Arabidopsis thaliana: one gene and its partner. The protein of the gene in region 1 interacts with the protein of each later gene in a pairwise test. Each region holds a gene or a part of one and is shown in the gene's direction. Other genes may lie near its edges. The genes, in order: AT1G07930 and AT1G77550.

What was found.
Region 2: the proteins of AT1G07930 (region 1) and AT1G77550 interact in a two-hybrid assay, tested with the Arabidopsis thaliana proteins (one large-scale study listed by BioGRID).

The regions. Positions count from the first base shown.
Region 1 is NC_003070.9:2,449,473-2,465,105, forward strand, and holds AT1G07930 (GTP binding Elongation factor Tu family protein), read left to right. Parts: upstream 1-8,711; 5' UTR 8,712-8,873; intron 8,874-9,518; 5' UTR 9,519-9,541; coding exon 9,542-10,003; intron 10,004-10,098; coding exon 10,099-10,986; 3' UTR 10,987-11,345; downstream 11,346-15,633. Other genes in the region: RNL (RNAligase), read left to right, coding at 1-27, 182-342, 445-476, 736-899, 1,015-1,094, 1,291-1,356, 1,514-1,803, 2,096-2,203 and 9 more; AT1G07920 (GTP binding Elongation factor Tu family protein), read left to right, coding at 6,087-6,548, 6,642-7,529; AT1G07940 (GTP binding Elongation factor Tu family protein), read right to left, coding at 13,878-14,765, 14,859-15,320. UniProt on the Arabidopsis thaliana protein: This protein promotes the GTP-dependent binding of aminoacyl-tRNA to the A-site of ribosomes during protein biosynthesis.
Region 2 is NC_003070.9:29,133,234-29,150,607, reverse strand, and holds AT1G77550 (tubulin-tyrosine ligase), read left to right. Parts: upstream 1-7,557; 5' UTR 7,558-7,642; coding exon 7,643-7,909; intron 7,910-7,996; coding exon 7,997-8,227; intron 8,228-8,354; coding exon 8,355-8,479; intron 8,480-8,563; coding exon 8,564-8,777; intron 8,778-8,922; coding exon 8,923-9,048; intron 9,049-9,157; coding exon 9,158-9,414; intron 9,415-9,911; coding exon 9,912-10,019; intron 10,020-10,214; coding exon 10,215-10,356; intron 10,357-10,466; coding exon 10,467-10,632; intron 10,633-10,769; coding exon 10,770-10,927; intron 10,928-11,008; coding exon 11,009-11,332; intron 11,333-11,414; coding exon 11,415-11,489; intron 11,490-11,573; coding exon 11,574-11,643; intron 11,644-11,723; coding exon 11,724-11,881; intron 11,882-11,971; coding exon 11,972-12,118; 3' UTR 12,119-12,331; downstream 12,332-17,374. Other genes in the region: LACS9 (long chain acyl-CoA synthetase 9), read left to right, coding at 82-213, 301-474, 667-896, 994-1,111, 1,214-1,345, 1,439-1,573, 1,662-1,868, 1,943-2,107; AT1G77580 (filament-like protein (DUF869)), read left to right, coding at 3,815-3,904, 3,996-4,191, 4,271-5,946, 6,040-6,417; AT1G77570 (Winged helix-turn-helix transcription repressor DNA-binding protein), read right to left, coding at 6,815-7,258; AT1G77540 (Acyl-CoA N-acyltransferases (NAT) superfamily protein), read left to right, coding at 12,426-12,698, 12,775-12,846; AT1G77530 (O-methyltransferase family protein), read right to left, coding at 13,185-13,484, 13,567-13,631, 13,726-14,036, 14,102-14,571; AT1G77525 (defensin-like protein), read left to right, coding at 16,170-16,236, 16,405-16,577.

The DNA.
Region 1 (15,633 bases):
GCAGATTATTCAACTAGTAAATTACAGGTAAATTGAGATCTGTGTCTTCGTTGATTTCGAATCGCTGAAGTTATTTGTTATGTATATATCTTTCACTTGCAGTGTTCTCTCATGTGGTAATATTTACCAGTTTCTATTATTTATGTGTTTTTGACGAGCAACTGATTTTCTTTTTTAATAGGAAATGGTACGCTTGATGAAGGAAAAACGTCTTCCAGCCGCATTCAAGTGTTACCATAATTTTCATAGAGCTGAGGACATATCACCTGATAACCTTTTTTATAAATTGGTTGTCCATGTGCACAGCGATTCAGGATTTAGGCGTTACCACAAAGAGATGAGGTTATCTTTAAACACGTCTTAGTTACTTATGTCTTTCAGTTTGACCAAACTACGAAAGTATTGATTTCTGTTTACTGAACCATATTAATTACCGTGTTTCAGGCACATGCCTAGTTTGTGGCCTTTATATCGAGGTAAATGCTTTTACTTGTTTCTTATTCTATAACTTTGCTTTCAAATTCCATGTTAATGCACCATTTCTGATTCATTTGTTAGAGTTCAATAATTTTGTCTCTACTTTGCACAGTTCCTAGTCTTTGTGAAATAACTTTGTTAGGAAATCAAATTTTCTTGGATGTTTCAGATTTGGTTGTTGTGGTAGCATGCTATGGACCATTGCCATCTGTTTTTCGTCTAACTATATTAGTTAGTGATCTTCTTTTTTCTTTTCAGGTTTCTTTGTTGATATTAATTTGTTCAAGTCAAACAAAGGGAGGGATCTGATGGCTCTGAAAAGCATTGATAATGCCAGTGAAAATGATGGTCGAGGAGAAAAGGATGGTTTGGCTGATGATGATGCTAACTTAATGATTAAAATGAAGTTTCTCACATACAAGGTAATTTTAGGATGGAAGGTCTTCTGGCTAGAGGGATTTGTAATTTGTTGCAATTTCCTGGCTCTTTCGTTGCATTATCATCCTGATGTTGGACATGTCTTCATTTTTTTTACAGTTGAGAACCTTTTTGATCCGTAATGGCCTATCAATTCTATTTAAAGACGGGGCAGCAGCTTACAAAACTTACTACCTTAGGTGAGCTGCTTTCTCCCTATGAATATATACATATAGAGTGATGTGTCAAATGTTATAGTGATGTTTTGCATTGCATTGTAAAACAAAACGTGGAGACTAGTTGTTGCATACTCATTATGTTTTGATTATGTAGGAGCTGACGTGGTCAAGCTTTAATTTGATTTTTTTCTAATATCATTGTTGTTTCTGCATCCAGGCAAATGAAAATCTGGGGTACGTCAGATGGAAAGCAGAAAGAACTTTGCAAGATGCTTGATGAATGGTACCAAAATCACACTACTCTACACATGTAGACTAAGCTTATACAATTTTGTGGAAACTTATTTCCTGAGCAAATGTGTAACCTACTGCCTAGATAATTTTTCATCTTTTTGAATCTGGATTAGCATCTCATCTTCTCTTCTCTTCACTACGTGCAGGGCTGCTTACATAAGAAGAAAGTGTGGGAATGATCAGCTATCTTCATCAACATACTTAAGTGAAGCTGAGCCATTCCTGGAGCAGTACGCGAAACGGAGCCCAAAGAACCATATTTTGATAGGGTCTGCTGGGAACCTAGTTAGAACTGAGGACTTCTTGGCCATTGTTGACGGTGATCTAGATGAAGAAGGCGATCTTGTGAAGAAACAAGGAGTGACACCAGCTACTCCTGAGCCAGCTGTGAAGGAAGCTGTCCAAAAGGATGAGGGGTTAATTGTATTCTTTCCAGGTATTCATTGTTATATATTATTTCATGTATTCTGGTTGTTGGTTTTAGTTCATTTTTGTGGCAGTGTCTTATATTGAACTTATGGATGGTAGTGGTTATCAGCTTGTAATTGTTTTAGTCATTCAGATAATAAAACATTAGTAAAAAATCAAGTTTTTTACTTCTGACCAGAAGTGAGAGCAACACATTGTTTTAGAGTGACTGGTGGTATATTTTTCTGTATATGTCGTTTGCTTTGACATCTCCTTTAATCTCTTTTCTTCTGATTTCTACAATATTAATGTTTTCTCAGGAATTCCTGGATCTGCTAAATCTGCACTTTGCAAGGAGTTATTGAACGCCCCAGGAGGCTTTGGAGATGATAGGCCAGTGCATACTCTGATGGGTGATCTTGTCAAAGGTATTTTAGAATGTAGGTTTTTTTTGGGTCAAAACTGCTCTGGTCTCTCAATTTGCTATGCCATCTCATGCAATATTCTACATACGGGACAGGAAAATATTGGCCAAAGGTTGCTGATGAACGTCGTAAAAAACCACAATCGATTATGTTGGCTGACAAAAATGCCCCAAATGAAGATGTCTGGAGACAGGTAATTAATCCTACGTTGAGAATCTGTTACAACCTTACATTAAGTAGAAATGAGTATTAGGCTTATAAGATTCTCTGCCTCTCCTCGTGCATTTAGAATAGCTCTACGCATGGGTCCTTTAAGAGTGGCTTTGGCTTACAAGTCTCATTTCAATCTTATTCTCGTATTTCCCTATTAGATTGAAGATATGTGTCGGAGAACTAGGGCTTCTGCAGTTCCAATCGTTGCTGATTCTGAAGGTATGTAACTATGCATCCATTCTTTGATGTATTTCAGTTAACAATCTTCTTTTCTGCTGTTTATACGGTCATCTTCAATTGATTCCATACTATTTGACCTTCAATTGATATGATGACCCTGTGAACGTTATGATTATGAAAGGTTGAAGGATGAATTATCTTTTACTGAATTTGCTCCCGTTTTATTCATGTATAAATATAAGGTTGATACTCGATTTTCTGCATATAGTCGGAAGTTTATACTTCGCTTAAAAACACAAAGAGTTGTTCTGCTTTATTTTCTCAATTACTGCCTTGCGTCATCCTCTGTATTCTTTGTGATCTTTTGCATTATATTTACTTTTGCCCCTCTATGAATGCACAGGAACCGATACAAATCCATATTCACTTGATGCCTTGGCTGTATTCATGTTCCGTGTACTTCAACGAGTTAACCATCCGGTATACAGTTGCCTCTTATACACAGTTCAACTTCAACTGCATCATCCAACTTTCATCACAACCCTACATCTTTAACAAACTATCTTTTCTTCATGTGCAATAAATATTTAGGGAAAGCTCGACAAGGAATCTTCAAATGCAGGTTATGTGCTATTGATGTTTTATCACCTTTATGAGGGAAAGGTATTATCACATACTCCACAACTTATTCTTTTAAGTAAATCTATGATTTGATCTAACTGAACTTTCTTTAAATTTTAGAACCGTAATGAATTTGAGAGTGAATTGATTGAGCGCTTTGGCTCCCTCATCAAGATGCCACTATTGAAATCAGACAGGTATACAGTTGACATCACATGCGAGCTAACAAACTCGAACTTAGCACAGCTACAAATTGCAACTTCATATTTAATTGGTTCATAAGCAATTTAATTGTCTTCTCTTTGTGCATATACAGGACTCCTTTACCTGATCCTGTTAAATCAGTTCTTGAGGAGGGCATTGATTTGTTCAATCTCCATAGTAGAAGACATGGGAGGTGGGTACCAACACTACCATTTTAAATGACTTGAAAAGTTGAATTTATGTCAAACCGAAGTATTTTGAGCATCGTATGCCAAAACTTGTTCATCGTGTTATATATTAAACAACACCTTCTGTTCTGACGATAAAAAATGAAAGGCAATAGTAATAATTTAGCAAAAACTAACAAGACATCGGATTTATTTATCCTGTGACTAGATGTACTTGGATCATGTAACTGGAGAAATCCTACACATGAGTGTGCTCACAGGCGTTTTTATTTCTTGTTCTGGCTGTTCTCTACTTCATTCTTTTAGCTCTAGCTCCTGTTGGTTGCTTCTGACCTGTTTTCCTTCTGATTTTTCTTGTTGTAGACTCGAGTCAACAAAAGGAACATATGCAGCGGAATGGACCAAATGGGAGAAACAACTACGAGATACTCTAGTTGCAAATTCTGAGTATCTCAGTTCTATTCAGGTAAAAAATTCCTTTGTCATTGATGGCTCATGAAAAGCAAGAAATCTGCGATTGAATTTTAAACTGCTTCAATGTTCCTTCAGTACATGGTAAAAGAGTATAAGAAGAAGGATGTACATATGATGTCTTTGTTTTCTGGTTTGCAACTTTCAGGTTCCATTTGAGTCTATGGTTCATCAAGTGCGAGAAGAGCTAAAAACAATAGCGAAGGGTGATTACAAGCCACCAAGTTCGGAGAAAAGAAAACACGGGTCTATTGTTTTCGCTGCCATCAACTTGCCTGCTACTCAAGTTCACAGTCTTCTTGAAAAGGTAACCAACCAATTTCTTATACTATCATATAAAAAAACAAAAGGAATATTGAGACAAGAACTCTTCAACTGCCGAAAACTAAAGGTTAAGTATGGGCTTTGTTATTAATTAATAGATGTTATTCTTATCAGTTGGCTGCAGCAAACCCAACAATGAGATCTTTTCTAGAGGGAAAGAAAAAGAGCATACAGGAAAAACTTGAACGGTCTCACGTGACGCTCGCCCACAAGAGAAGCCATGGCGTAGCAACTGTAGCCAGCTATAGTCAGCACTTGAACAGAGAGGTACCCGTAGAGCTCACCGAGCTCATCTACAACGACAAGATGGCTGCTCTAACAGCCCATGTTGGATCTGTGGACGGAGAGACCGTAGTCTCCAAGAACGAATGGCCACATGTTACATTGTGGACAGCGGAAGGCGTTACTGCGAAAGAGGCCAACACGTTACCTCAGCTTTACTTAGAAGGAAAGGCGAGCCGCTTGGTGATAGATCCTCCGGTGTCAATCTCAGGTCCTCTGGAGTTTTTCTGAATACTTGATTAAACATGGAAGTTTCTCTCTTGAGGGAGGTTGCTCGTGGAATGGGACACATATGGTTGTTATAATAAACCATTTCCATTGTCATGAGATTTTGAGGTTAATATATACTTTACTTGTTCATTATTTTATTTGGTGTTTGAATAAATGATATAAATGGCTCTTGATAATCTGCATTCATTGAGATATCAAATATTTACTCTAGAGAAGAGTGTCATATAGATTGATGGTCCACAATCAATGAAATTTTTGGGAGACGAACATGTATAACCATTTGCTTGAATAACCTTAATTAAAAGGTGTGATTAAATGATGTTTGTAACATGTAGTACTAAACATTCATAAAACACAACCAACCCAAGAGGTATTGAGTATTCACGGCTAAACAGGGGCATAATGGTAATTTAAAGAATGATATTATTTTATGTTAAACCCTAACATTGGTTTCGGATTCAACGCTATAAATAAAACCACTCTCGTTGCTGATTCCATTTATCGTTCTTATTGACCCTAGCCGCTACACACTTTTCTGCGATATCTCTGAGGTAAGCGTTAACGTACCCTTAGATCGTTCTTTTTCTTTTTCGTCTGCTGATCGTTGCTCATATTATTTCGATGATTGTTGGATTCGATGCTCTTTGTTGATTGATCGTTCTGAAAATTCTGATCTGTTGTTTAGATTTTATCGATTGTTAATATCAACGTTTCACTGCTTCTAAACGATAATTTATTCATGAAACTATTTTCCCATTCTGATCGATCTTGTTTTGAGATTTTAATTTGTTCGATTGATTGTTGGTTGGTGGATCTATATACGAGTGAACTTGTTGATTTGCGTATTTAAGATGTATGTCGATTTGAATTGTGATTGGGTAATTCTGGAGTAGCATAACAAATCCAGTGTTCCCTTTTTCTAAGGGTAATTCTCGGATTGTTTGCTTTATATCTCTTGAAATTGCCGATTTGATTGAATTTAGCTCGCTTAGCTCAGATGATAGAGCACCACAATTTTTGTGGTAGAAATCGGTTTGACTCCGATAGCGGCTTTTTACTATGATTGTTTTGTGTTAAAGATGATTTTCATAATGGTTATATATGTCTACTGTTTTTATTGATTCAATATTTGATTGTTCTTTTTTTTGCAGATTTGTTGACAGTCTCTAACCATGGGTAAAGAGAAGTTTCACATCAACATTGTGGTCATTGGCCACGTCGATTCTGGAAAGTCGACCACCACTGGGCACTTGATCTACAAGTTGGGTGGTATTGACAAGCGTGTCATTGAGAGGTTCGAGAAGGAGGCTGCTGAGATGAACAAGAGGTCCTTCAAGTACGCATGGGTTTTGGACAAACTTAAGGCTGAGCGTGAGCGTGGTATCACCATTGACATTGCTCTCTGGAAGTTCGAGACCACCAAGTACTACTGCACTGTCATTGATGCTCCTGGCCATCGTGATTTCATCAAGAACATGATCACTGGTACCTCCCAGGCTGATTGTGCTGTCCTTATCATTGACTCCACCACTGGTGGTTTTGAGGCTGGTATCTCCAAGGATGGTCAGACCCGTGAGCACGCTCTACTTGCTTTCACCCTTGGTGTCAAGCAGATGATCTGCTGTTGTAACAAGGTAACCATATCTTTCATCTGTTATGTGACTACACATTGCTTCTCTTTTTGTGTTCTGTCTCATTAATTGCGGTTTGTTACATGTTGTTTGTAGATGGATGCCACTACCCCCAAGTACTCCAAGGCCAGGTACGATGAAATCATCAAGGAGGTGTCTTCCTACTTGAAGAAGGTTGGTTACAACCCCGACAAAATCCCATTTGTGCCCATCTCTGGATTTGAGGGTGACAACATGATTGAGAGGTCCACCAACCTTGACTGGTACAAGGGACCAACTCTCCTTGAGGCTCTTGACCAGATCAACGAGCCCAAGAGGCCGTCAGACAAGCCCCTTCGTCTCCCACTTCAGGATGTCTACAAGATTGGTGGTATTGGAACGGTGCCAGTGGGACGTGTTGAGACTGGTATGATCAAGCCTGGTATGGTTGTGACCTTTGCTCCCACAGGATTGACCACTGAGGTCAAGTCTGTTGAGATGCACCACGAGTCTCTTCTTGAGGCACTTCCAGGTGACAACGTTGGGTTCAATGTTAAGAATGTTGCTGTCAAGGATCTTAAGAGAGGGTACGTCGCATCCAACTCCAAGGATGACCCTGCCAAGGGTGCTGCTAACTTCACCTCCCAGGTCATCATCATGAACCACCCTGGTCAGATTGGTAACGGTTACGCCCCAGTCCTGGATTGCCACACCTCTCACATTGCAGTCAAGTTCTCTGAGATCTTGACCAAGATTGACAGGCGTTCTGGTAAGGAGATTGAGAAGGAGCCCAAGTTCTTGAAGAATGGTGATGCTGGTATGGTGAAGATGACTCCAACCAAGCCCATGGTTGTGGAGACCTTCTCTGAGTACCCACCACTTGGACGTTTCGCTGTGAGGGACATGAGGCAGACTGTTGCAGTCGGTGTTATCAAGAGTGTTGACAAGAAGGACCCAACCGGAGCCAAGGTTACCAAGGCTGCCGTCAAGAAGGGTGCGAAGTGAACCATCCTCAAAACTCTATCTGCCGCAGGTGAATCAAAGGACAGTGTTAGTTTTATTACAATAGTTTGGTATTTGGTCGCGTGTCTGTGTTCTTGTTTCGTTTTCTCCCCGTCAGAGCGTTGTTCTCGTAATTGGGTTCTTGATCGGAGGTGGCGGATCTACACACACATTCTTCCTGTTTTTTGCTTTTTATTTGTTTTCTCATTTTGAACTGTTTTAAAATTTCTGTTATATGAATGAATGTTTTCCCTGCGGTTATTATCTTCTTTACTCTAATTTTCTCTTGTTGCGTAAATCGTTTCCGAAATCTTTTTACCTCTCTTCTCTATTGTCATAATTAATCGCTGCTTTCAATTTAAACTTTTTGAAAGCTAAAATAAAAGTTTTATGGTTTCAAATACTCACCGTTACCGTTCTGTCCGCAACACGTGTATTCAATTTGTTGCTGGGCTGTAATGATCGGCCCAAATCAATCTAATTTTTTATTTATTTTTACATGTCCAATATAAGGCTTAATAGATAAATTGGACTTGGTTAAGGTCCATTATAGATGCCACTGTGGTACCATTAGCCTTGCATTGTTTTTTTTGTTTTTACATGCCCAATATAAGGCTTAATAGATAAATTGAACTTGGTTTAAGGTCCATTATAGTCCAATATAAGGCTTAATAGATAAACTGGAATTACATGAGAGTAGTGGTATCATACCAAAATTCATGATTTTGCATCATTATTTTCTGGCATTGGATGATGATGAATATATAAATATTTCGCTTATGAAATAGAAAGCCTTGCTCAAATAATGAAGCACATGAGTTGGACTTAAAGCCAAAAATAAGGCGAGATGTTTTTTTTTTTGTTAAAGGGTTTAATAAGGCGAGATGTTACCAGTGTATTTGAAGCAAATCAATGTAATCAGTTGTACACAGGCAGGAGATATATAGCGATCAGATACATAAAATATATGTATAAATACGTACTTTTTGCTAGTGCTCTCTACCAGCGTTTTCATTATGAAGTCTAATTTTTTTTTTTTTTTTTTTTTTAACTGATTTGTTCTGATTTATAAATCTTCGTATGATCGTATCTAAAGAGAACATGCTCCCGTGAGTCGTTGACGTTAAGTATGGGGGGAGACATTACCGGAACGAAAATTAGTAAAACAGGCGGCCAGACATAAGGGTAAAATTGTCATTACGCTAAGGAGATTATCTTAAACCCTAACTTTTTTCCGCTTCACCACTATAAATACAAACTTGTTTACCCTTCCAATTTATTTCTCTACTTGTCCACTTTTCTACAGCCGCATCATCCTTCTCCCTTGTGCGATATCGTTTGCGTGAGGTTAGCTTTTCATACGATTCTTCGATTTGAATTCTTATTCTTCCGATCGATTTGGTAGATTCAATTTCGTCCCGTTGTCGTTTGCTTCTTCTTAATCACTTCTATGCTTCTTTACATGTAACTCTCTGATTTGTTGATAGGATCGTTTAGATTCTTTGATTCCATGGCTTTGAACTTATCGATTGAGGAAATTAACGTTCTGTAGTGCAATCGAACTGGCTTTCCTTTTATTATTTCAAATTCAGATCATGTAATCTGTCGATCTAGTTCTTTGAATTTTCTGTTGTGCGATTGATTGTTTGTTAGATCCATATGTGTAAGGTTAAATTGATCTATTGGTATAATACATACGTTTCTAGTTATCAAATTGATTTGTGATTGGGTAATTCTGGAGCAGCATAAAAAATCCATTGTTTCTTTCCTTCTTGAATCTAAGTCGTGGAAACTCTAGGATTGTTTGCTGTATATCTCTTGAAATTGCTTGTTTGATTGAATTTAGCTCGCTTAGCTCAGATGATAGAGCACCACAATTTTGTGGTAGAAATCGGTTTGAATCCGATAGCGGCTTTTAACAATGATTGTTTTTTGTGTTCATATGTCTACTGTTTTTATTGATTCAATATTTGATTGTTCTTTTTTTTGCAGATTTGTCTGAAAAGTAGCTAACCATGGGTAAAGAGAAGTTTCACATCAACATTGTGGTCATTGGCCACGTCGATTCTGGAAAGTCGACAACCACTGGACACTTGATCTACAAGTTGGGTGGTATTGACAAGCGTGTGATCGAGAGGTTCGAGAAGGAGGCTGCTGAGATGAACAAGAGGTCCTTCAAGTACGCATGGGTGTTGGACAAACTTAAGGCTGAGCGTGAGCGTGGTATCACCATTGACATTGCTCTCTGGAAGTTCGAGACCACCAAGTACTACTGCACTGTCATTGATGCTCCTGGTCATCGTGATTTCATCAAGAACATGATCACTGGTACCTCCCAGGCTGATTGTGCTGTCCTTATCATTGACTCCACCACTGGTGGTTTTGAGGCTGGTATCTCCAAGGATGGTCAGACCCGTGAGCACGCTCTCCTTGCTTTCACCCTTGGTGTCAAGCAGATGATCTGCTGTTGTAACAAGGTAACAAAAGCTTCTTTTATCTCTTATGTGATTATTGCTTCAAATTGTTTGTGTTCAGTCTCATTAATTGGATTTTTCTTTCATGTTGTTTGTAGATGGATGCCACTACCCCCAAGTACTCCAAGGCCAGGTACGATGAAATCATCAAGGAGGTGTCTTCCTACTTGAAGAAGGTTGGTTACAACCCCGACAAAATCCCATTTGTGCCCATCTCTGGATTTGAGGGTGACAACATGATTGAGAGGTCCACCAACCTTGACTGGTACAAGGGACCAACTCTCCTTGAGGCTCTTGACCAGATCAACGAGCCCAAGAGGCCGTCAGACAAGCCCCTTCGTCTCCCACTTCAGGATGTCTACAAGATTGGTGGTATTGGAACGGTGCCAGTGGGACGTGTTGAGACTGGTATGATCAAGCCTGGTATGGTTGTGACCTTTGCTCCCACAGGATTGACCACTGAGGTCAAGTCTGTTGAGATGCACCACGAGTCTCTTCTTGAGGCACTTCCAGGTGACAACGTTGGGTTCAATGTTAAGAATGTTGCCGTGAAGGATCTTAAGAGAGGGTACGTCGCCTCCAACTCCAAGGATGACCCTGCCAAGGGTGCTGCTAACTTCACCTCCCAGGTCATCATCATGAACCACCCTGGTCAGATTGGTAACGGTTACGCCCCAGTCTTGGATTGCCACACCTCTCACATTGCAGTCAAGTTCTCTGAGATCTTGACCAAGATTGACAGGCGTTCTGGTAAGGAGATTGAGAAGGAGCCCAAATTCTTGAAGAATGGTGATGCTGGTATGGTGAAGATGACTCCAACCAAGCCCATGGTTGTGGAGACCTTCTCTGAGTACCCACCACTTGGACGTTTCGCTGTTAGGGACATGAGGCAGACTGTTGCAGTCGGTGTTATCAAGAGTGTTGACAAGAAGGACCCAACCGGAGCCAAGGTTACCAAGGCTGCAGTTAAGAAGGGTGCAAAGTGAACTCGAATCCTCAAAACTCTATCCGCAGATGAATCAAAAAACAATATTAGTTTCTTTACTTTAGTTTGGTATTTGGTCGCGTGTTATAGCTTCGTTTCTTCTCCATCGGAACTCTGTTCCCGGAACTGGGTTCTTGATCGGAGGTGGCGGAGCTACTTTGCACCTATTTTGCTTTTGAATTGTTATCAATTTTGAACCTATTTGGAGATTCGGTTATATGATGTGATTTTCCGAGGATATTCTCTCTTTTTTTGTTGCGTGTATCACATTCGAATTCAGTCTCTTGGATAACTTGTGGAAAAACTTATAACTTCAAGAAAAACCTTATAAACACTTACAACTTCAACAAAATATCGTAACTGCCATTGTAGATTGTTTTTACTCCGATTCGCTTGAGCAGCTTGAAAACAAAAGCAACGCATACCACTTTGAAGAAAAACGTAGCTAGTACATACATATATTTTACAATGTAAAAAGTAAACAACACATTTATAGATCTTTTGTTTATCAAACGTCAAGTCAAACAAATTCGATCTTATTGATCCAGCTATAGTCATAAATTCATTATGATCCGCCCCGTGAGTTAAGTTATGCAAAACACTGAATCCGACCCACACAAATCATCATGAAACCAAGGAGTTGTCTTATATTAACCGAACCAACAAGCTTTAAAACTTTTCTTGCACACGACCAATGGCCAATTTCCATCTATAAATCATCCGATCAACCATATTACGATTATGTCAAAGATCAAGTGTCTTCCTCTTCACCGAGGGATTCAAGTTTAACCATTATTGACATATAGAGTTCAGTACTGTAAATATAGACTATACTATCTCGGTTTAACAAAAAATGTCATTATATCTTAATCTTTGGTTTTACAAAGAGTATCGTTTTGTATTTCCCATGATGCATATCATTAAACTAAAACATTTTCTTTTATTCCAATTATTTCAGTTTATTAATAAAAGAAGAAAAGAATATTTTTAGTGTATTTGTAGAGGATAAGAGAAATTTAAACAGTTTACTTAATTTGTGTAACATATGTTGTAGAGAATATGTTAATTTTGAATATACGAATCATTGAGTTAGTAAAGCATCATGAATTGTAAATATAAATGTATTCAACTCTCTATCTACACTGAGTTACATTAAATTTTACAATTTTCCCATGTATGTAAATATTTATGATATACCTAACTATGTATTAGTGCATTTGTTTTATTTTAAATGATATTTAAGGTTTTTACACATAGATTTAGTAATTATTATTACTATTTAATTTTTTGTGCACATGATTTCGAAATGATTTATTGTTATGTTCTTATATTAAAATATTTTTGTCTACTTATAAATAATTCAATCAATAAAAACATACAAGAGTATTTAAAACATTACTCACGATAAACAGAGAAAAGGTATATATAAGATACTATTTTAAATAGTGAGTTAATAGATAACTAATATAATCAGCCAATTACAAGTGAAAGAAGAATTTTGTATAAACCTCGAAATTGATAGGTAATGAATCAAAATATGACGCCAAAAAAATTTATAAATGAAAATGTAATAGTTTTGGGCCTTTGGTTTAAAATGAATAAATATCACCAAATTATGGGCTATAGTATTGGGCTCTATCAAAGTACAATTAATATTTTTGGTCTAAATTTAAAATATCGAGCCCAAGGTTTTCAACAAAGTGCGTTATTATCAGGACACTATAGTGAAACAAAATCCACTCGCATCAATCGCGCGTAGAGCGCGTTCAGCGAAAATGCGTGGTCTAATAACCCACCAAAACCGCTGTTTTTAATTAAAATCCCTTTCCTCGAAAAATCCCGCGCGTGACCATATTGCTTTGGTTCTCTTGTCCCCATATTTATCGCATTATTAAAATTTTAAAAATGGATTACTTACCAGCTGACAAAAAAATGATTTACGCGTTGCTCTAAGTTATTGAAACTAGCGTATAGCCGTATACTATATAATTAAAAAAAAAATAGAGGATTTAACATTAAAACGTATGCAAATCTTTTCAATGTAAACCTTTAATGAGTCACTTATGTCTTTCTTTTTTTAACATTTTCTTTATGATTTATGAATCAGGTTGAAACAATATTGTTAGGGTGTAAAGCTTCAGTTATTAAAATGGTTCACGGTAATTGAAAAAAAAAGAAAGAAAAGCCATCATCTTGTCCTCTCCATAGCCAGGTATAGAGACCCGAGTTGAGTACCTTCATATCGACAAGATTACTCAAGCTTCTGCAATCTACTTCAAATTTGATGTTTGCATATATATCTTCTTCCCCAACAGCTTCGCATTGCCGTTATTTAAACTTGAAATTTGCTTTGTTCCTTACATCTATTTCAAAGAATCAACGAATAAAATCATCTCAAAAGCCTTCTCTTTGACTGCATTTTTTTGCTAAATCTCTTCGACTGTATTAACTTTAAATATTACAGCCAAAATCAAAGAAATAACATTAGCCTTTATAAACTGATATAGACTTGTTTCTCCAATGTTGTTTAAAGTTCTAGATTACAATTTTACCATGTAAGAAACTTCAGAGGCTGATCGTTGAATTTTAGAGAAGAAAAACAGACTTAAGTTGATAAGATAAGATAATATCCGCAGGAATGACACAAATATCATATAACCGAATATCCAAAAAGGTTCAAAATCATAACACAAAACAAAAGAAATAAACAGGAAGCTCGAGTGCCAAGTACCTCCGCCACCTCCGATCAAGAACCCAATTCCGAGAATTGAGCTCCGACGGAGAATAAACGAAGCGGTAACACAAACAACCAACCAAATACCAAACTACTAAAGTAAAGAAACTAAAATAGTCCTTCATTTCATCAGCGGAAAGAGTTTTGATGTTCAGAGTTCACTTGGCACCCTTCTTGACTGCAGCCTTGGTAACCTTGGCTCCAGTTGGGTCCTTCTTGTCAACACTCTTGATAACACCGACTGCAACAGTCTGCCTCATGTCCCTCACAGCGAAACGTCCAAGTGGTGGGTACTCAGAGAAGGTCTCCACAACCATGGGCTTGGTTGGAGTCATCTTCACCATACCAGCATCACCATTCTTCAAGAATTTAGGCTCCTTCTCAATCTCCTTACCAGAACGCCTGTCAATCTTGGTCAAGATCTCAGAGAACTTGACTGCAATGTGAGAGGTGTGGCAATCCAGGACTGGGGCGTAACCGTTACCAATCTGACCAGGGTGGTTCATGATGATGACCTGGGAGGTGAAGTTAGCAGCACCCTTGGCAGGGTCATCCTTGGAGTTGGATGCGACGTACCCTCTCTTAAGATCCTTGACAGCAACATTCTTAACATTGAACCCAACGTTGTCACCTGGAAGTGCCTCAAGAAGAGACTCGTGGTGCATCTCAACAGACTTGACCTCAGTGGTCAATCCTGTGGGAGCAAAGGTCACAACCATACCAGGCTTGATCATACCAGTCTCAACACGTCCCACTGGCACCGTTCCAATACCACCAATCTTGTAGACATCCTGAAGTGGGAGACGAAGGGGCTTGTCTGACGGCCTCTTGGGCTCGTTGATCTGGTCAAGAGCCTCAAGGAGAGTTGGTCCCTTGTACCAGTCAAGGTTGGTGGACCTCTCAATCATGTTGTCACCCTCAAATCCAGAGATGGGCACAAATGGGATTTTGTCGGGGTTGTAACCAACCTTCTTCAAGTAGGAAGACACCTCCTTGATGATTTCATCGTACCTGGCCTTGGAGTACTTGGGGGTAGTGGCATCCATCTACAAACAACATGTAACAAACCGCAATTAATGAGACAGAACACAAAAAGAGAAGCAATGTGTAGTCACATAACAGATGAAAGATATGGTTACCTTGTTACAACAGCAGATCATCTGCTTGACACCAAGGGTGAAAGCAAGTAGAGCGTGCTCACGGGTCTGACCATCCTTGGAGATACCAGCCTCAAAACCACCAGTGGTGGAGTCAATGATAAGGACAGCACAATCAGCCTGGGAGGTACCAGTGATCATGTTCTTGATGAAATCACGATGGCCAGGAGCATCAATGACAGTGCAGTAGTACTTGGTGGTCTCGAACTTCCAGAGAGCAATGTCAATGGTGATACCACGCTCACGCTCAGCCTTAAGTTTGTCCAAAACCCATGCGTACTTGAAGGACCTCTTGTTCATCTCAGCAGCCTCCTTCTCGAACCTCTCAATGACACGCTTGTCAATACCACCCAACTTGTAGATCAAGTGTCCAGTGGTGGTCGACTTTCCAGAATCGACGTGGCCAATGACCACAATGTTGATGTGAAACTTCTCTTTACCCATGGTTAGAGACTGTCAAACAAATCTGCAATAAAAAGAACAATCAAATATTGAATCAAGAAAAACAGTAGACTTATGAACACAAAAAACAATCATTGTTAAAAGCCGCTATCGGATTCAAACCGATTTCTACCACAAAAAATGTGGTGCTCTATCAACTGAGCTAAGCGACCTAAATTCAATCAAAACAGCAATTCTGGAGATATACAGCAAACAATCCTAGAGTTTCCACAACTTGGTATCAAGAAGAATGAATCAATTGATTGTTTATGCTGCTCCAGAATTACCTAATCACAATTCAAATCGACAATTAATA
Region 2 (17,374 bases), about 27 Mb from region 1:
TCAAAATTGTTCTATCAGCTATTTGTTATTGGTCCTGCAAAATTTACTTAATCTGACTTTCCCACTTCCCAAATAATGTAGGGTGTTATGATGACGCATGGTAATGTCCTAGCTACAGTTTCGGCAGTGATGACAATTGTTCCTGACCTTGGAAAGAGGGATATATACATGGCATATTTACCTTTGGCTCACATCCTTGAGTTAGCAGCTGAGGTATCTTAAAAGTTCATTACTCAATGCGTTTATATAGCAGTTCCACACTTCAGAGTATTTGAATGCGGCCTAATTCCATTGTTGTAGAGCGTAATGGCTACTATTGGGAGTGCTATTGGATATGGGTCTCCCTTGACGCTAACGGATACTTCAAACAAGATAAAAAAGGGTACAAAAGGAGATGTCACAGCACTAAAGCCCACTATAATGACAGCTGTTCCAGCCATTCTTGATCGTGTCAGGGATGGTGTCCGCAAAAAGGTTTGTGCATGTTAGATACACATCGAAATTCTTTGGTTGGCTATCCTCTGTTAAAGCAGTTGAGCTCGTGCTCTCCTAGCTGTTTAAATAATTCCGGCTATCTCCCAGCAACCAAGATGTGCTAAATTGTCTTCATTCTCTTGTGAGTAAAACATTATAATTGCATAAGCACTGACAATTTATGACCATCAGGTTGATGCAAAGGGCGGATTGTCAAAGAAATTGTTTGACTTTGCATATGCTCGGCGATTATCTGCAATCAATGGAAGTTGGTTTGGAGCCTGGGGATTGGAAAAGCTTTTGTGGGATGTGCTTGTGTTCAGGAAAATCCGTGCAGTTTTGGGAGGTCAAATCCGCTATTTGCTCTCTGGTGGTGCCCCTCTTTCTGGTGACACTCAGAGATTCATTAACATCTGCGTTGGGTAAACGAATCCCTGAATATCTCCTTGAGGCTTGCTACTCTCCAATATATCTTTTCGTCCCTTTCCATTTCTATGATCTAACACTGATATTCCTCAGGGCTCCAATCGGTCAGGGATATGGGCTCACAGAGACTTGTGCTGGTGGAACCTTCTCGGAGTTTGAGGACACATCCGTTGGCCGTGTTGGTGCTCCACTTCCTTGCTCCTTTGTAAAGGTAACCTCTTTACCTGATTTGTCCACTTTTAATACTTTGTTAGCTATTTATTAGTTTGTATGTCGTAGTCTCTTGTGATCATATGCTTATATCTTGTTTCAGCTAGTAGACTGGGCGGAAGGTGGGTATCTAACTAGTGATAAGCCGATGCCCCGTGGTGAAATTGTAATTGGTGGCTCAAATATCACGCTTGGGTATTTCAAAAATGAGGAGAAAACTAAAGAAGTGTACAAGGTGGCAAATCAACATTATTGGTTTCGGCAATGTTAAAAGAATTGGTTGGTTTGGTTCTTCCTCTAACCGTTTTATACACTTGAATGTTCAAAGGTTGATGAAAAGGGAATGAGGTGGTTCTACACAGGAGACATAGGACGATTTCACCCTGATGGCTGCCTCGAGATAATAGACCGAAAAAAGGATATCGTTAAACTTCAGCATGGAGAATATGTCTCCTTGGGCAAAGTATAGTTTTCTCAATCCGAATACCCTTTTTTGTCTTCATCACTCAATTCTCCGGAGAAGCTTCTTAAAACATTCTTTTTTTTCGCAGGTTGAAGCTGCTCTAAGTATAAGTCCCTATGTTGAAAACATAATGGTTCATGCTGATTCGTTCTACAGTTACTGTGTGGCTCTTGTGGTCGCGTCCCAACATACAGTTGAAGGTTGGGCTTCAAAGCAAGGAATAGACTTTGCCAACTTCGAAGAACTGTGCACGAAAGAGCAAGCCGTGAAAGAAGTGTATGCGTCCCTTGTGAAGGTATGTTCATTGCTACTCATTACCAAGCTATTTGAGTCCCCCAGTCATTTCCTTATAACATCTGTGTTATGCAGGCGGCTAAACAATCACGATTGGAGAAGTTTGAGATACCAGCAAAGATCAAATTATTGGCATCTCCATGGACGCCAGAGTCAGGATTAGTCACAGCAGCTCTAAAGCTGAAAAGAGATGTAATTAGGAGGGAATTCTCTGAAGATCTCACCAAGTTATATGCCTAAATTTTTCTTCTTCCTTTACTTTTTTTTTTTTTACGTCTCGATGCATTCGAAAGACTTAACAGATGCACAAAAACTTAATTCTAAGAATAGTTATCTCTTTTCTCATTGATGTTTCTGTCTTTTCGTGTAATTTGTGTGGGAACTAGGACGAGACAGAAAAAACAGAGTAATGGGTCTCTTACTCTCAACAATCTTTTTAGGCTTTGAGACCATGTCTATACAACTTAATGGGCCTTTATCAAACCACGTCATTAAGCCTATGCATATAGTTTTTAGTTTATTTGTTTTTGGGACTCGAGATAAACGACAAAAGGAAAGAGACTATCAATTGTAATCTGGAGTGAAAATAAAGTTAATCTTACCAACTACCAACAATTAAGAAAAGATAAATTGGAGATTAGTGTATAAATTAATTATATTGTACTTAACAGAAAAAAAAAAAAAAAAAAGTAGAAAGCAGAGTGAGAGATGGGAGCAATCTAAACCGTCGGATAAATTGTGAATCTCACTGATTTTGTCAGTGAACCCAATGACCAGAGTCAGCGAGACGCGTGAGCTCTTCTTTAATCACATTATTATTATTAAAACCGTTACAACTTCCTTAAATTCAAAAGCTGCTTTCTAAATTCGTAATTTAATTATCCTAAATTATTGTCAATAATGTATTCTCGGGCGGGAATTGTTATAAGCACTTTAAATGTCAATAATTCAAATTAATTAGTACGAAATTACGTTTTAACTTTTAATTCCTTACATTTATATACACAAAAATAATAATTCCTTAAAAAAAGCTGAAAAAGTTAAGATTTAAATGTTTTTTGAGTTCACAGCTCCACATACAGAAGATCACATGCTCTATCTCTCTTTCTATCTTTTGAATTAAAGAAGAAAAATTAGAGAAATATTTCAAAAATAGCAAAAAACAAGATAAAGAGAATTCTCTCTTCTCTCTCTCTCTCTCTCTCTCACGCTATATCTCTGCCTTGTCGCTGTTAATAAATCGTAATAGTGTTTCAGACAGTAGTAGAAGAAGAAGAAAGCTTCTTCCTTTTTGCTTGTTTAATCGCTGATTTTTTTTTGTTTCCATTGGGGCATTTTGGGATCTCAAAGTTCTTCATACAGTCCCCAACCAAAAGGTATTTACTTCACCAAACATTTGGTCTCTTTCACAATATTCTCTTCCTTTGTTCGTTTTTTTTTAATTTATCTACTTAAGTGTTCTCTGAAATAGACCAATGTTTGGAGTGTAGTTTGAGACTTACTTATCACTGTTCCATTACCCTCGTAGCTTTTATTTCCTTCTCTTGGATTTGGGGTTTTGGTAGATTTTCCCTTATGCCTCAACGAGTTTCAAATTTAAAGTTTCAAGCTTTTGTTCTTTGTCTTGTAGCTTTCTCAACCGTTGGTTTTTGATTATGAAACGGACATCTGGAACCACATTTGTTACTATAAAGACAAATTCAGTTCCTTTAAATCATTTCTAATACTTTGTGTTAAATGATTGGTTTATTCAAGATTTTCTCTTATCTTGCATGTTTGCTGATTGGTTCAGTTTACTTCATCTTAAAGTTTGTTTCTTCTTTGACTATGTTTATGTATGTTTCAGCATTTTTAAAGAATCCAATGTATGTGTGTGTGTGTGTGTGTTTTCTCTCTCATTCAGATCCTGAGACTGTTATGTGCTGATTGTGATCTTGGAAACTATAAATGGAGAAAAGGAAGAGAGAATCATCTGAGAGAAGCTTTGGTGAATCAGAGTCTGTGTCTTCACTATCTGAGAAGGATTCTGAAATTCAAGTAAGATCAAGAATTTTGTTTTTGTTATTTTAGTCTTGTGTCCTTTGCATCTAAAAGATCATTGTAATGTCTGTTTTTATTTTTGCTCAAGCCTGAGAGTACAATGGAGTCTCGTGATGACGAGATACAATCACCAACGGTTTCTTTGGAAGTAGAAACTGAAAAGGAAGAGTTGAAAGATAGCATGAAGACTTTAGCCGAGAAACTTTCAGCTGCTCTTGCTAATGTGAGTGCTAAAGATGATCTAGTGAAGCAACATGTCAAAGTCGCTGAAGAAGCTGTCGCTGGTATCAATCTTTTTTTCTACATTTTTGTTTTATGATTCTGCGACTTTTTAGTGAAGATATATCTACTCTTGTTGTGAAGGGTGGGAGAAAGCTGAAAATGAAGTGGTTGAGTTAAAGGAGAAGCTTGAGGCTGCTGATGATAAGAATAGAGTGTTGGAAGATAGAGTAAGCCATCTTGATGGAGCTTTAAAGGAGTGTGTGAGACAGTTAAGGCAAGCAAGAGATGAACAAGAACAGAGAATTCAAGATGCTGTGATCGAGAGAACTCAGGAGTTGCAGTCTTCTAGAACCAGCCTTGAGAACCAGATTTTTGAAACTGCAACCAAGTCTGAGGAGCTTAGCCAAATGGCGGAATCTGTGGCGAAAGAAAACGTGATGCTTAGACACGAGCTTCTTGCGCGATGCGAAGAGCTAGAGATCAGAACTATTGAGAGGGATTTGAGTACCCAAGCAGCTGAAACCGCCAGCAAGCAGCAGTTAGATAGCATAAAGAAAGTGGCGAAACTTGAGGCTGAGTGCAGGAAGTTTCGGATGTTGGCTAAGTCATCAGCTTCGTTTAACGATCATCGATCTACAGATAGTCATTCTGATGGAGGGGAACGAATGGATGTGAGTTGCTCTGATTCATGGGCATCATCCACATTGATTGAGAAGAGAAGCCTTCAGGGAACTTCCTCTTCCATTGAACTTGATCTCATGGGTGATTTTCTTGAGATGGAACGTCTTGTAGCATTGCCTGAGACGCCAGATGGGAACGGTAAGAGTGGACCTGAATCAGTTACAGAAGAGGTTGTTGTTCCCTCAGAGAACTCGTTAGCTTCTGAAATAGAAGTACTGACTTCTCGCATTAAGGAACTTGAAGAGAAGTTGGAAAAGTTAGAAGCCGAGAAACATGAGCTCGAGAATGAAGTTAAATGTAACAGAGAAGAGGCTGTTGTTCATATAGAGAACTCAGAAGTACTGACTTCTCGAACTAAGGAACTTGAAGAAAAGTTGGAAAAGTTAGAAGCAGAGAAAGAGGAGCTCAAAAGTGAAGTTAAATGTAACAGAGAAAAGGCTGTTGTTCACGTAGAGAACTCATTGGCTGCTGAAATAGAAGTACTGACTTCTCGAACTAAGGAACTTGAAGAACAGTTGGAGAAGTTAGAAGCGGAGAAAGTTGAACTCGAAAGTGAAGTAAAATGTAACAGAGAAGAGGCTGTTGCTCAAGTAGAGAACTCGTTGGCTACTGAAATAGAAGTATTGACTTGCCGAATCAAGCAACTTGAGGAGAAGTTAGAGAAGTTGGAAGTAGAGAAAGATGAGCTCAAAAGTGAAGTTAAATGTAACAGGGAAGTGGAGAGCACATTGAGATTTGAGCTCGAAGCTATTGCTTGTGAAAAAATGGAGCTGGAAAATAAGTTGGAGAAGTTGGAAGTTGAGAAAGCTGAGCTGCAAATATCTTTTGACATAATCAAAGATAAATATGAAGAATCTCAAGTTTGTCTGCAAGAAATCGAGACGAAGCTGGGGGAGATACAAACGGAGATGAAACTCGTTAACGAACTAAAAGCTGAAGTAGAGTCTCAAACCATCGCAATGGAAGCAGATGCAAAGACTAAATCCGCAAAGATTGAATCTTTGGAAGAAGACATGAGAAAGGAGAGGTTTGCTTTTGATGAGCTTAGGAGAAAATGTGAGGCTCTTGAAGAAGAGATCTCTCTCCATAAAGAGAACTCAATCAAGAGTGAAAATAAAGAACCCAAGATCAAACAGGTCTGTCTCCAAAGTTCAGGTGTTAGTTAAACTTAGACTGTGTTCCATCACAATCACTTTTTTGTCCACTAAAACTTGATTACTATAATTCAGGAAGACATAGAAACAGCTGCAGGGAAACTTGCGAATTGTCAGAAAACAATAGCTTCATTGGGGAAACAGTTGCAGTCCCTTGCAACACTTGAAGATTTCTTAACCGATACACCGATAATTCCAATGGCTGCAAATGGTGTAAGCAGCAGCAGCAACTCAGAGAGTTGGAAGGTTCACAAAAACGAAACTTTCATGACAAGAAATCATCCTGAGTCCATCAAACCAACCAAAGAAACATCTCCATCTTCTTCTTCTTCTACTGCGTCTGCTGCTGTTTCAATGCCAGTTTCAACAAACCGAGGGAGTTCTGAGAAGAATCGCAATGGATTTGCAACAGTATTCACAAGAAGTAAAGACGGTATCCATCTGGCTATATAACATAACTTTGGCAGAGTAGGCAGAGAAACTTATCTCTTAGGGTTTAAAAAGGATCCGTTTTTAACACCACTTTGTTCCCTTTTCCAGATTTTGAATCCATAGTAGTAGTTTTAAAAGTTAATCTCTAGTGTAATGCAGTGGATGGATATTCCATAAAAGATGTTTCAAAAGTTTTCAATTTTCTGTTAAGAGGTTTTAGGAAGTTTCTATGTGATGTTGTTATGAATCATAATATAAGACAATAAAGAAGAGAAGCCACCATCATAAGAGAAGAATCAAAGACTAGGCATATAAAGAGGGTTCCTATAAAGAGAGAAACATACTATTGAAAAGTTCTTAGACTTGAATCTACTTGGAGACGAATATACATAATAAAGAAGACTGATTTAATGGACGATCAAATTTGCAAGTGTTGGAAGAGAAACTCGACTTGAACTCTAGCTTTCCTTGCTTTGGATTTAGCAGCTTTCCTTGCTTTACGTTTATCGCTAACCATCTTCTTCATAAGCTCCAGTTTATCTCTGATAAAATCTTCATGTCCAAATTCCAATACTCCAGTTCTTCCTTTAACTATTTTGAACCCATGAGAACGAAGGTTGGAGAAAAACCGTGAGAGGTTTGTGCCCAAGTCTACATATTTAGGCAGAATCCTTCTGTAAAACTCTCCAACATTCCAGATAATGAAACTGTTGTTGCTTTCGCTCCACGATATGATTGCATCCGTTGAAGCATCATCAACAACCTCATACACTCTCATGTAGAAATTGTAACCCATCCCTAAAACCTCACAAACTTCACAAATTAGAATCTTAGAATAATTAGGGTTTCGAGATTTTAGCATAGAGAGGAAGAGCAAGAGCATTATTTATAGACGAGCTATCAATTCAAAGGACGGTCAAGATATCAGCAAAATTTCAGCGGTCAGGATTAAAAGTTACAAAGTTTCCTTTTTTCTATTTTGTTTCCTTTTTTCTAATACGCATATATTATGTATATAAATAAGATAGCTTTCACCTAACAAGCATCCGAGGTTCTATGGTGTAGTGGTTAGCACTCTGGACTTTGAATCCAGCGACCTGGGTTCGACTCCCGGTAGGACCTCTTTTTGTTTCTTACATTTTTTTAGTTATTACTTTTCAAAATTAACCCTATTATATCACTCCCACTTCTCTTCTTCTTCTGTCGCCGAAAACGCAGCTTAAGCTAAAACCCCTCAGAGAGAACAATGAGCAAAATCGAGAGCTTTGATGATTTCGTCAAAGTACATGGAATACTTTTGGCGGCTTCAGGTTTGCCGCCGAAGCTTTACCCACGCCTCTTCGAGAAACTTGCTTACGATACTTTTGATGGCGGCGATTACTTCCAAATCGAATCCTGCGAGGATGATCAGCGACGGAAGCTTCTCCTCACTGCCGAATCTATGCCTAAAGATTCTGACGTCTTCCTTGTCGATCACGCCTGGACTTTTCGTCTTCCCGATGCCTATAAGCAGGTAACGCCTACTCTCACTCTCGAAAGAAGCTTATTGAATTTTGGATTGGTGATGAAGCTTAAGGTTTGTTTTAATCTCTTACTTCAGCTTAAGGAAATTCCTGGATTGGCTGAGAGGATGGCTTCTTTGATGAGTGTTGATATTGATGTGGATGCTGGAGAAGAAGAAGTGGCAGAGGAACTCTCTGTTGATCAGATAATTGACAATGAAATTCGTTATGCAGCAGATAAAGGATATGACTCTTTGAGATGGTTGGAGTTGGAGGGTCTTGGTGTTGATGACTCATTGTTGTCCCTGCATTTGCCTAGTAAATTTCAGGCATGTCTTTAGATCTTTCTTCTCCTTTAGTACTTTCATGCTAGACTCTAGCTCAGATGGTGAAGGTTTATTTCAAATGCTAGATTCTAAAGCTTCTTTGTTTGTGCTGCTGCCATTTTTTGGGTAGGATTTAGTGGCGCTTAGTCTTATCGGGAACAAAATAGAGAGTGCGGATGTGGTTATACAAGAGATTGTGAAGTTTAAGAATCTGAAGGCTTTGTGGCTGAATGACAATCCTGTTCTTCAGAAGAGGTAATCATGCATTTACAAAATATATGGATGTGTGTGGATATATAATTAATTTCTCATGTATTTCTTTTTTATGATTATTTTCAGTGAACGTCAGATGGCTGACGAAATATTGCAAGGCTGTCCGAGTCTTGAGATTTACAACTCGTGTTTTACCCCTAATTATGGGTTATGGGCACTTGGTTTCTGTGGAGATATCTTTGGGAAGGATAATCCTGGTTGTGTTCAGCAGGATCAACCCTTGTGCAATGTCACCTCACTTGACCTTTCAAACCGGTCAATACACAATCTAGTCAATAAGGTCAGTTTTGTCCCCCTACTTTCTCTCAGAGAGGCAGGGAGTGTAGTTTATTGACCGTAGAGGCTACAAGCATTGACGAAGGTGTATGTTTCAATTTTGTATTTTACGTGCCTGATTTATCTGCCTTTGCTTTCTTCATTTTCAGGCATTCTCTGTGCACGAGATGCCATTACTTTCTCATTTAAATATTCGTGGAAACTCATTGGATCAGAATTCTGTTGGAGAACTACTTGAAGTCTTGAAGCTCTTCCCTTCACTGTCTTCATTAGAGGTAAATGTTGGAAGTTGTCCTTATTCAGATACAAATTGAGGTTACTGTACAAAGTTAACTAAAATTTATTTATGCAGAGATGAGCTCACGTGTTACTTCTTGTTTGTAGGTTGACATACCTGGACCTCTTGGAATTAATGCTCTAGAGATTCTTGAATCGCTCTCAAACCTTTCTTTACTAAATGGCGTTGATACGGCAAAAATTTTGGAAACTGGAAAGCATGTTGTTGACTCAATGCTTCAACCACGCATTCCTGAGCTGAATCCTGATGATACTCTTGTTGATCGTGTTCTTGATGCAATGTGGTTGTATGCGCTGAATTATCGCCTTGCGGATGATGAAAAGCTTGATGAAACTTCTTTATGGTATGCAATGTTTCTCTTTTTTTTTGCTATATTAGAATTAGTGCGGTGGATTTGCTGGGGATAAGAAATAAAACTCACGGCTGTTTATATTTACTATTTAAACTATCATAACAATTTTCAGTTAAATAGACAAATTAGAGAAATCCAATATTTAATATTTGTGACGATTCTAATCCAACACTGAAAGCTGAAAGAGTTACCACTCTTTGTATGTCGGAATGACCATTTTCACTTTTGGAATGTATTCTCACCCTAGCATTTGTTTCTCTAGACTAAAGCCTTCTTTGATTTGACTGGGCGAGGTCTCCTTTGGTGTATATATGTGCAAAATTTCTATAGTATTGGGAATGAACATTTGATGCTAGTCTACTTCTTAAGAGGTTAGAATTAGGAGGGGGAATCAAACAGTTTATGGATAGTCTTGTCTGTAGTTCTTGGGCACATAATTTTTGGATATGTATGACTGTGAGTGGTGCAGTGATATCACTTTTTCGCAGGTATGTGATGGATGAATTGGGTTCAGCTTTGAGGCATAGTGATGAACCCAATTTCAAAGTAGCTCCCTTCCTTTTCATGCCTTCTGGGAAACTAGAATCTGCTGTGAGGTAGCAACTTTTAAAAAATTTCCTGCACTGCTCCTCGTATTTGTTAAATTCAACTTCTATGCGCTGTAAACACGTGTTATGTTGCTATAGTTCAAAAGTGTAATGTGGATTGACATGCGCTTCTTGATCAGGGCTCACATGTCATGTATGCAAATATTTTCTATCTTCATGTTTATTTGGTTTTATATGTTCCAGCTATTCGGTAATGTGGCCTATAAAGCATTCTCAAAAAGGTGATGAGTGCACTCGTGATTTTCTATCTGGTATTGGGGAGGACAAACAGCGGTCTGCGAGACTCACAGCCTGGTTTCAAACTCCTGAGAATTATTTTATTCATGTACTTCCTCGGTGTCCTCTTTAGCTTTCTGTTCATTAGCAGACTTCCTTTCCTCTCATTTCATACAAAGATTTTTGTTAATTAACAGATTCGCTGTCATGATTTCCTAGGAATTTGAGAAATACCAACAGAAACTGCAGGCCAAAGCCTTCGAGTCAAAACCTTCCAACCCTTCAGTTTCCCGAAGCATACAGCATAGTGATGGGTCTCCTTTGCTGGTTTACACGGATCTACCTCAAGTTGAAGAATTTCTGACACGCCCAGAATTTGTGATCAGTATGTGATTTGATCCATTTTTCATGATATCTACGTCTCATTGGATGGATATACTAAGCAATCGTCTGCATAAATGCATTAGACGAATCAAGAATTTTCTTTGTGTTTTCTGAGTTGTGTCACTTGCCTGCCTGCAGCAAATGAACCAAAAGATGCAGACATATTATGGACAAGTGTACAGGTGGATGATGAGCTCAAAAAAGAGGTGGGAATAACAGATGACCAGTACATAAATCAGTTTCCCTTTGAGGCATGTCTTGTTATGAAGCATCATCTTGCAGAGACTATTCAAATGGTAAATTCAGCAGATTATACCCTTAGATTATCATAGCACGTTAGTAACTTGTTTCTGAAATCCCTATGTTTTGCTTTACAGGGTTATGGATCTCCAAAATGGTTACAGCCTACCTATAATCTTGAAACCCAATTGTCCCAGTTTATTGGGGACTATTGTGTCCGCAAACGTGATCAATTGAACAATTTGTGGATCTTGAAACCATGGAACATGGCACGGACAATCGACACAAGTATAACCGATAATTTATCTGCTATCATCCGCATGATGGAAACTGGTCCCAAGATCTGCCAGAAGTACATAGAGCACCCTGCTTTGTTCAAGGGGAACAAGTTTGATCTGCGATATGTTGTGCTAGTGCGGAGTATTGACCCGCTGGAGATTTACCTAATAGAGATATTTTGGGTAATGCTTATTTTAATTTTCATTACAACCAATACAAGCGCTTATTTACTCATATATATCAATCCTATATGTTTGATTTCAGGTTAGGTTGTCCAACAATCCATATTCATTGGAAAAGCACAGTTTCTTTGAATATGAAACTCACTTCACTGTCATGGTATTAGTTAAGAACACTCTTTCCACATAATGATTCAGCAACTCTCGTTTTCCCTTTTCATGTTCATTCTCTTATGCGTTTCAGAACTATGGTCGGAAGTTGAATCACAAGCCCACGGCAGAGTTTGTGAGAGAATTTGAACAAGAACATAACGGTATACACTATATTTGGGTTTACTTTCTCCAGATTTTTATGCATTTCATTTTGTCAATAACACAATTCAACTCTCAATAGTTAAATGGATGGATATCCATGAGAAGGTGAAGCAGGTGATACGGGCAGTGTTTGAGGCGGCAGCTCTCGCGCATCCAGAGATGCAATCCCCCAAATCTAGAGCAATGTACGGAGTAGATGTAATGCTCGATAGCTCCTTCGAGCCAAAAATTTTGGAGGTTCGTTACTAAAACTACCTGACATATACTTGTTTCCTTGAGAAAAACTCTTGGAAATTGCAAGTTCTCATGATTGTCTATGCAACGCAGGTTACATACTGTCCTGATTGCATGCGGGCTTGCAAATATGACATGGAAACCATAGATGGAAAAGGTATTGTTAAAGGCGGAGATTTCTTCAATAATGTATTCGGGTGCCTCTTCTTAGACGAGACTGCACACGTTACTCCATTGTGAGCTCAATTGGCAGAGAGAAGAGAGAAGATGGTTGGTTTAGTTCCAAACTAGAATGGTTTTATTTATAATCATGTCTTTTGTAAGTTATGCACAATGAGAGTTTTGCTTTATTAGCTACATTGTGGAAAATTGAAATCCTAATGTACGTTTATTAGCTACATTTAGCCAATGAAGCTTTCGTTATTTTAAAATCTTAAAAGTCCTCCTAAAAATTATTCATAACAGAACACCGCGGTTAATAGGCCCATTAATAGGCCCGATAAGAATCAGATAAAGAAACATTCCTTCGATTTACGTTTATTGACAAATGACGAACACGGCGGCGACAACGGAGGCGAAGATGGCGACAGAGCCACCAAAGATAGTGTGGAACGAAGGCAAAAGGCGATTCGAGACGGAGGATCACGAAGCTTTCATAGAATACAAGATGAGAAACAACGGTAAAGTGATGGATCTGGTTCATACTTACGTTCCTTCATTCAAACGAGGATTAGGTTTAGCTTCTCATCTCTGCGTCGCCGCTTTCGAACACGCCTCTTCTCACTCCATCTCCATCATCCCTTCTTGCTCCTACGTTTCGGTACGAATTTCTTTTAAAAATCTACTCGAAATTCTGGATCTTGAAATTGAATTCGTGAGCTTTGTGTATTTTGCAGGATACGTTTCTTCCTCGAAACCCATCATGGAAGCCTCTGATTCATTCAGAGGTATTCAAGTCTAGCATTTGAATAACACTTGTTTCTCATTGTGCTCTGTAATAAGTAAATGTCGTTTGATGATTGTAATCAAAATGAGAGTAAATGAATATTTTATGAATCCTACTGCTTTCGATAGCAATGAATCGAAATTGGGATTTACTAGCTCGTGCTTTTTGGTGCAATCAAACTCAAAGGTTACAGTAAGAAAACATTATAGAAACGTTGTCGGAGCATAAGAAGAAATGTTTCAATTACAAACCTAAAGCAAACACCCTTTCACAATTATTATTACAATCTGTTAATATAATACACTAAACAATCTTGAAAAGAAAACTTAGCATGTAGCAGAATTCGTGAATTCCAAATCCTTATTTGTGGAATTCGATAACAGAATATGAATAAGAAAGACATATGATTTCACATAGAAGAAAGCCTGACGCAAACGCTAAATTCTCGAACTGCGAAAGAGATCGCTCTTTACCACCAGAGCATTGTGTTAACATCAACAAGTCCATGCCCAACACGGTGTTACACGAAAAGTCATTAGGCTTTGGTTCCATTGGTGTAATCATCTCTACAATGATCACTTTACCTTTTTCCGGTAGACTTTTCCAACAATTTTTCAGAATCTTTATACAATCCTCGTCTCCCCAATCATGTAGTATCCACTGTCAATAACTTAACCATATTATATTTCGAAAATAATGAGACTCAATTATAATTTATCGATTCATAAACATATAAACTTACTTTCATAAAGATGGCATCTCCTTTTGGAACTTCAATAAACATGTCTCCGGAGACATGCTTGACTCCTATCATTAGTATTAGTCAAACCATACAAAAGATTTAGGAGGTACATTAGTTAGTAATACTAGCACAGCAAATATACTAAGTATAGTTTTGTACCTGGATAAAAAGGAGCTTGGGTTAAAACTTGAGCTAAGTCGAAATTAACACCTTTGATATGAGGATACTTGGAAGTGATGAGACCTAATATGGTGCCGATACCTCCTCCTACATCCACCAAAGTGTTAACATCTTCAAATCCTCTGTATTCTTCTAGAACCTTCTTCATGACCATTGTGGAAGATTCCGACATTGCGCGGTGAAACAACTTAGAGAACTGGTCATCCGAACTAATATATTCGAAAAGTCTCATGTCGTGGGCAGAGCTGAATGCATCTTTTCCTTCTAGTATCACATCCTTGAGATTTGTCCTATATATGGAATTTTTTCAAAAAAAATATCTTCAAATGTTCATTTACGTTTTATGTTCACTAACCATGTTTTGAGAATGACTTGGCTATGGAGCAACAATAACAAGGACGAGAGAGAACCAGAGCCGTCACTATCTTTCAAGAAGTACTTGCAAATCGGTTCAGCTGCATATACTCTCTCGATCTTTCCGGTTTGACCATTTTCTCTGCTTTCAACCATACAACACTTCAAGATCGAGTGGCTTACAAGTAACCGCAGCATCCGGTCCAGCAATACCGGCGCCTCCGGGTTAGTGGGTTTGTTTGGGAGACTAACGGCTATCTCAGACGGTGAGAGCCACGTGCCGTTGCTAGCAGCAGCGATCGTATCAATGACTCCAAGCTCTAAGGCGGCTTTGAGAACCATGGGGAAAGCCACGGCGTTGACTATACTCTCCGCTTGCAAGCTCACCATTTTCTCGTCGATTTCTTGTTCTTCTTTGGTTAAACCCGGTTTAGGGTAAGTGGTTAAGGGATCTTGAAGATGGTTTGACATAATTGTCGATATAGGTTGAAAGATTGAAGAAGATGATAACAAAGGTAGAGTTGATTTGAGGATGTGGTTTTAACTTTCACAGTTAGTGATGTTTTTATAAGGAGAAATCCCAAAGACAAGTGGACTGATTATGTTTAATACTAATTTATTGTCACGGGGATGGACAAAAAGATGATGGTTCATGTATTTTTTTTTGAATAAAAGATGATGGTTCATGTAGATAGTTTGCGATTGTTGTTGTTGTTGTTGTTTTGATATAGATAACAATGGCAAAGAAGATTGAATTCGAGATTCACACTAGTGCCATGCACTGAGACGCGTGTAGTAGTACTCAAATGCGAATTAAAAGTTAACTAATGAAAGATGCGTCAGAGTTTTCATTTTTTTCTTCACATCGAAAAGGTTAAAATAGAATATCGACGATTATAAAAAAAAAAACTACAAATTTTAAAACGGTCAACTATATAAAACATACGATGCGATAGGAAAGAAAATCATAACCAAAGTTTGGTGATATCTTCAGTTTCAGTATGCTTATTGTGGTGATAAACAAAGATTTATTATGGACAACACTAAGTCACTAACTGGTATCATGATATATATTTCAAGGAAAACCTCTTTTTCAGAGAAAAAGATATATTTCTAGAAATCTCACAATTAAAGGGAAATTACTGCAATTATAATTTTTCAATATATGACCATAATAAAACTGACACTTTAGGAATCTTTGCAAATTAATTATTTAATGGTAATTTTAGATTATTTCTTAAAATTGTGAAATTTTTGTAAATCAAAACTAATAATAATAATAATGATATTAATAAATTCCAACGAGAAGGGATCATAATCTATATATATTAATTATCCCAAAAAAGGAAACAAAATAATTGTGAAATTTTTGTAAATCAAAACTAATCATAGTAATGATAATATTAATAAATTCCAACGAGAAGGGATCATAATCCATATATATTAATTATCCAAAAAAGGAAACAATGTCATAATTTTTAATAGTAATTTCTTAAAACCAATTTATTATTAACAGGTGGATGATGATTTAAATGCATAAGAAGAGAAAAGAAAAAAAATAATTATATATGCAAGTAAAGTCATATTACTCACTTTGTCGTTCTATTATTTTTTCTCAAATATCAATGCATAATTTATTATGACTATTAATAATTTGCAATCTTTTTCTATTGGTTAATTTTTAAAATAAATGTTAGATACTATATTTATGGGTATTTAATATTAGAATAACAAAACATTTATGGTCTCTTAAACTTTGTGCTTATTTAGAAAATATTATAATCTGGAACGTTGGGAGTGTAGATTAGCTGTCAAATATATGATTTATTACTTAAATGTGTTTATCTTATTTAGGTTATTCTTTTAATAAATATTTTGGTTTGACTCTCAAATTGGCATTAATTATTTTGGTCAAACTTAACTTTATTGCCTTTAATTTGAGTAAGAATAAAAAAATATCTGTGTGTGTGTTGTCTGTATATATATGTAGACATTGTTGATAAGAAAAAATATTCAGTACCAGATAAACACAACAACAAAAGAAAAAATATAGACATATCATTTGCATCATGAAATCTGTTAGTGCGTGTGTGGTTCTTTGTGTTCTCATGTTTTTCGTGATGTATAATGCTAAAGGTGAGATATATATAATTCATATAATTTCGATTGTTTATATACTTGCTTAATATGAAAACATTGACTGATGAAAAAATGTTATGAATGTAAATTTTTGTGTTATCAATTTTGTATTTATCTAACACGTTTCATCCACCATCTAATATTTTTGTGGTTGATATGAAACAGTGGAGGCAGAAGATCGTCCACCTGTACTTGTTGAATACTTTCCGGGAACATATTGTAGTCCAATTCGTGCTCGGGGTCCTCAACAGTGCAAAGATGAAACTAAGGATCCTTACTATCCTAATTGCGTTTGTATAAATCAAGCAAGTGGACATGATTGTTCATGTACTCATTGATAAGTTTCCTTTATATGTATGCGTTACTGAATCTTGAGAACTAAATCTATTTAATAAAAATTAGATATTTATCTTTGATTTATGTGTCATGGCCGGGTAGGAAATAAATTTGATTCATAAAAATTCAAAATACCCTAAATAAAATATCCCTCGAGAGCAATGTAATAGTTTACAAAACCAATCCATTTTTGAGCGTTGAAGTTCCCATTATCTGTGATTTATCGTATAATCTCCACTCTAAGAATTACCAATCTGTGGATGATTCGATTTGATTCCTAAATTAGCCGCGTCTTATTGTATCAATCAAAGCTTTAGGATTGTGATGAGTTTCGTATTTTATTTTGTGGTGGTATTCTGATCATGTCACACAATTCAGGCTCACATAATGAAATGGAATGAATACATGTTTAGTTCTCTTTTATTTATTTATAATTCCATAGCGAAAACAAAAGTAGGGGTCAACCGAACCACGTGAATCAGGATATCACTTTCTTCTAACCCACGCAGGAAAATATCTTTAAGGAAGCACTAACTTGTGATTGATCCTATAATCATTTAAAAGCGTCATACTATTATTAAATTTTTAAGTCTATAATAAAATTTTAAATCCAAAAACAGTGTGTGTTTTAATGTTAGAAAGTAATCTATAGTAACATTGAACCATACCGAGTAGAGGTGGGCAAAGCTCAGAGTTCTTTCGTCAACTTGTTGTTCTTCTTTGCTTAGACGCGTTGAGTTTGCAATTGTTTTAATCGTTGCTGGTAAAACTCATGGGTGGGTAGGCTTGTTGAATACAA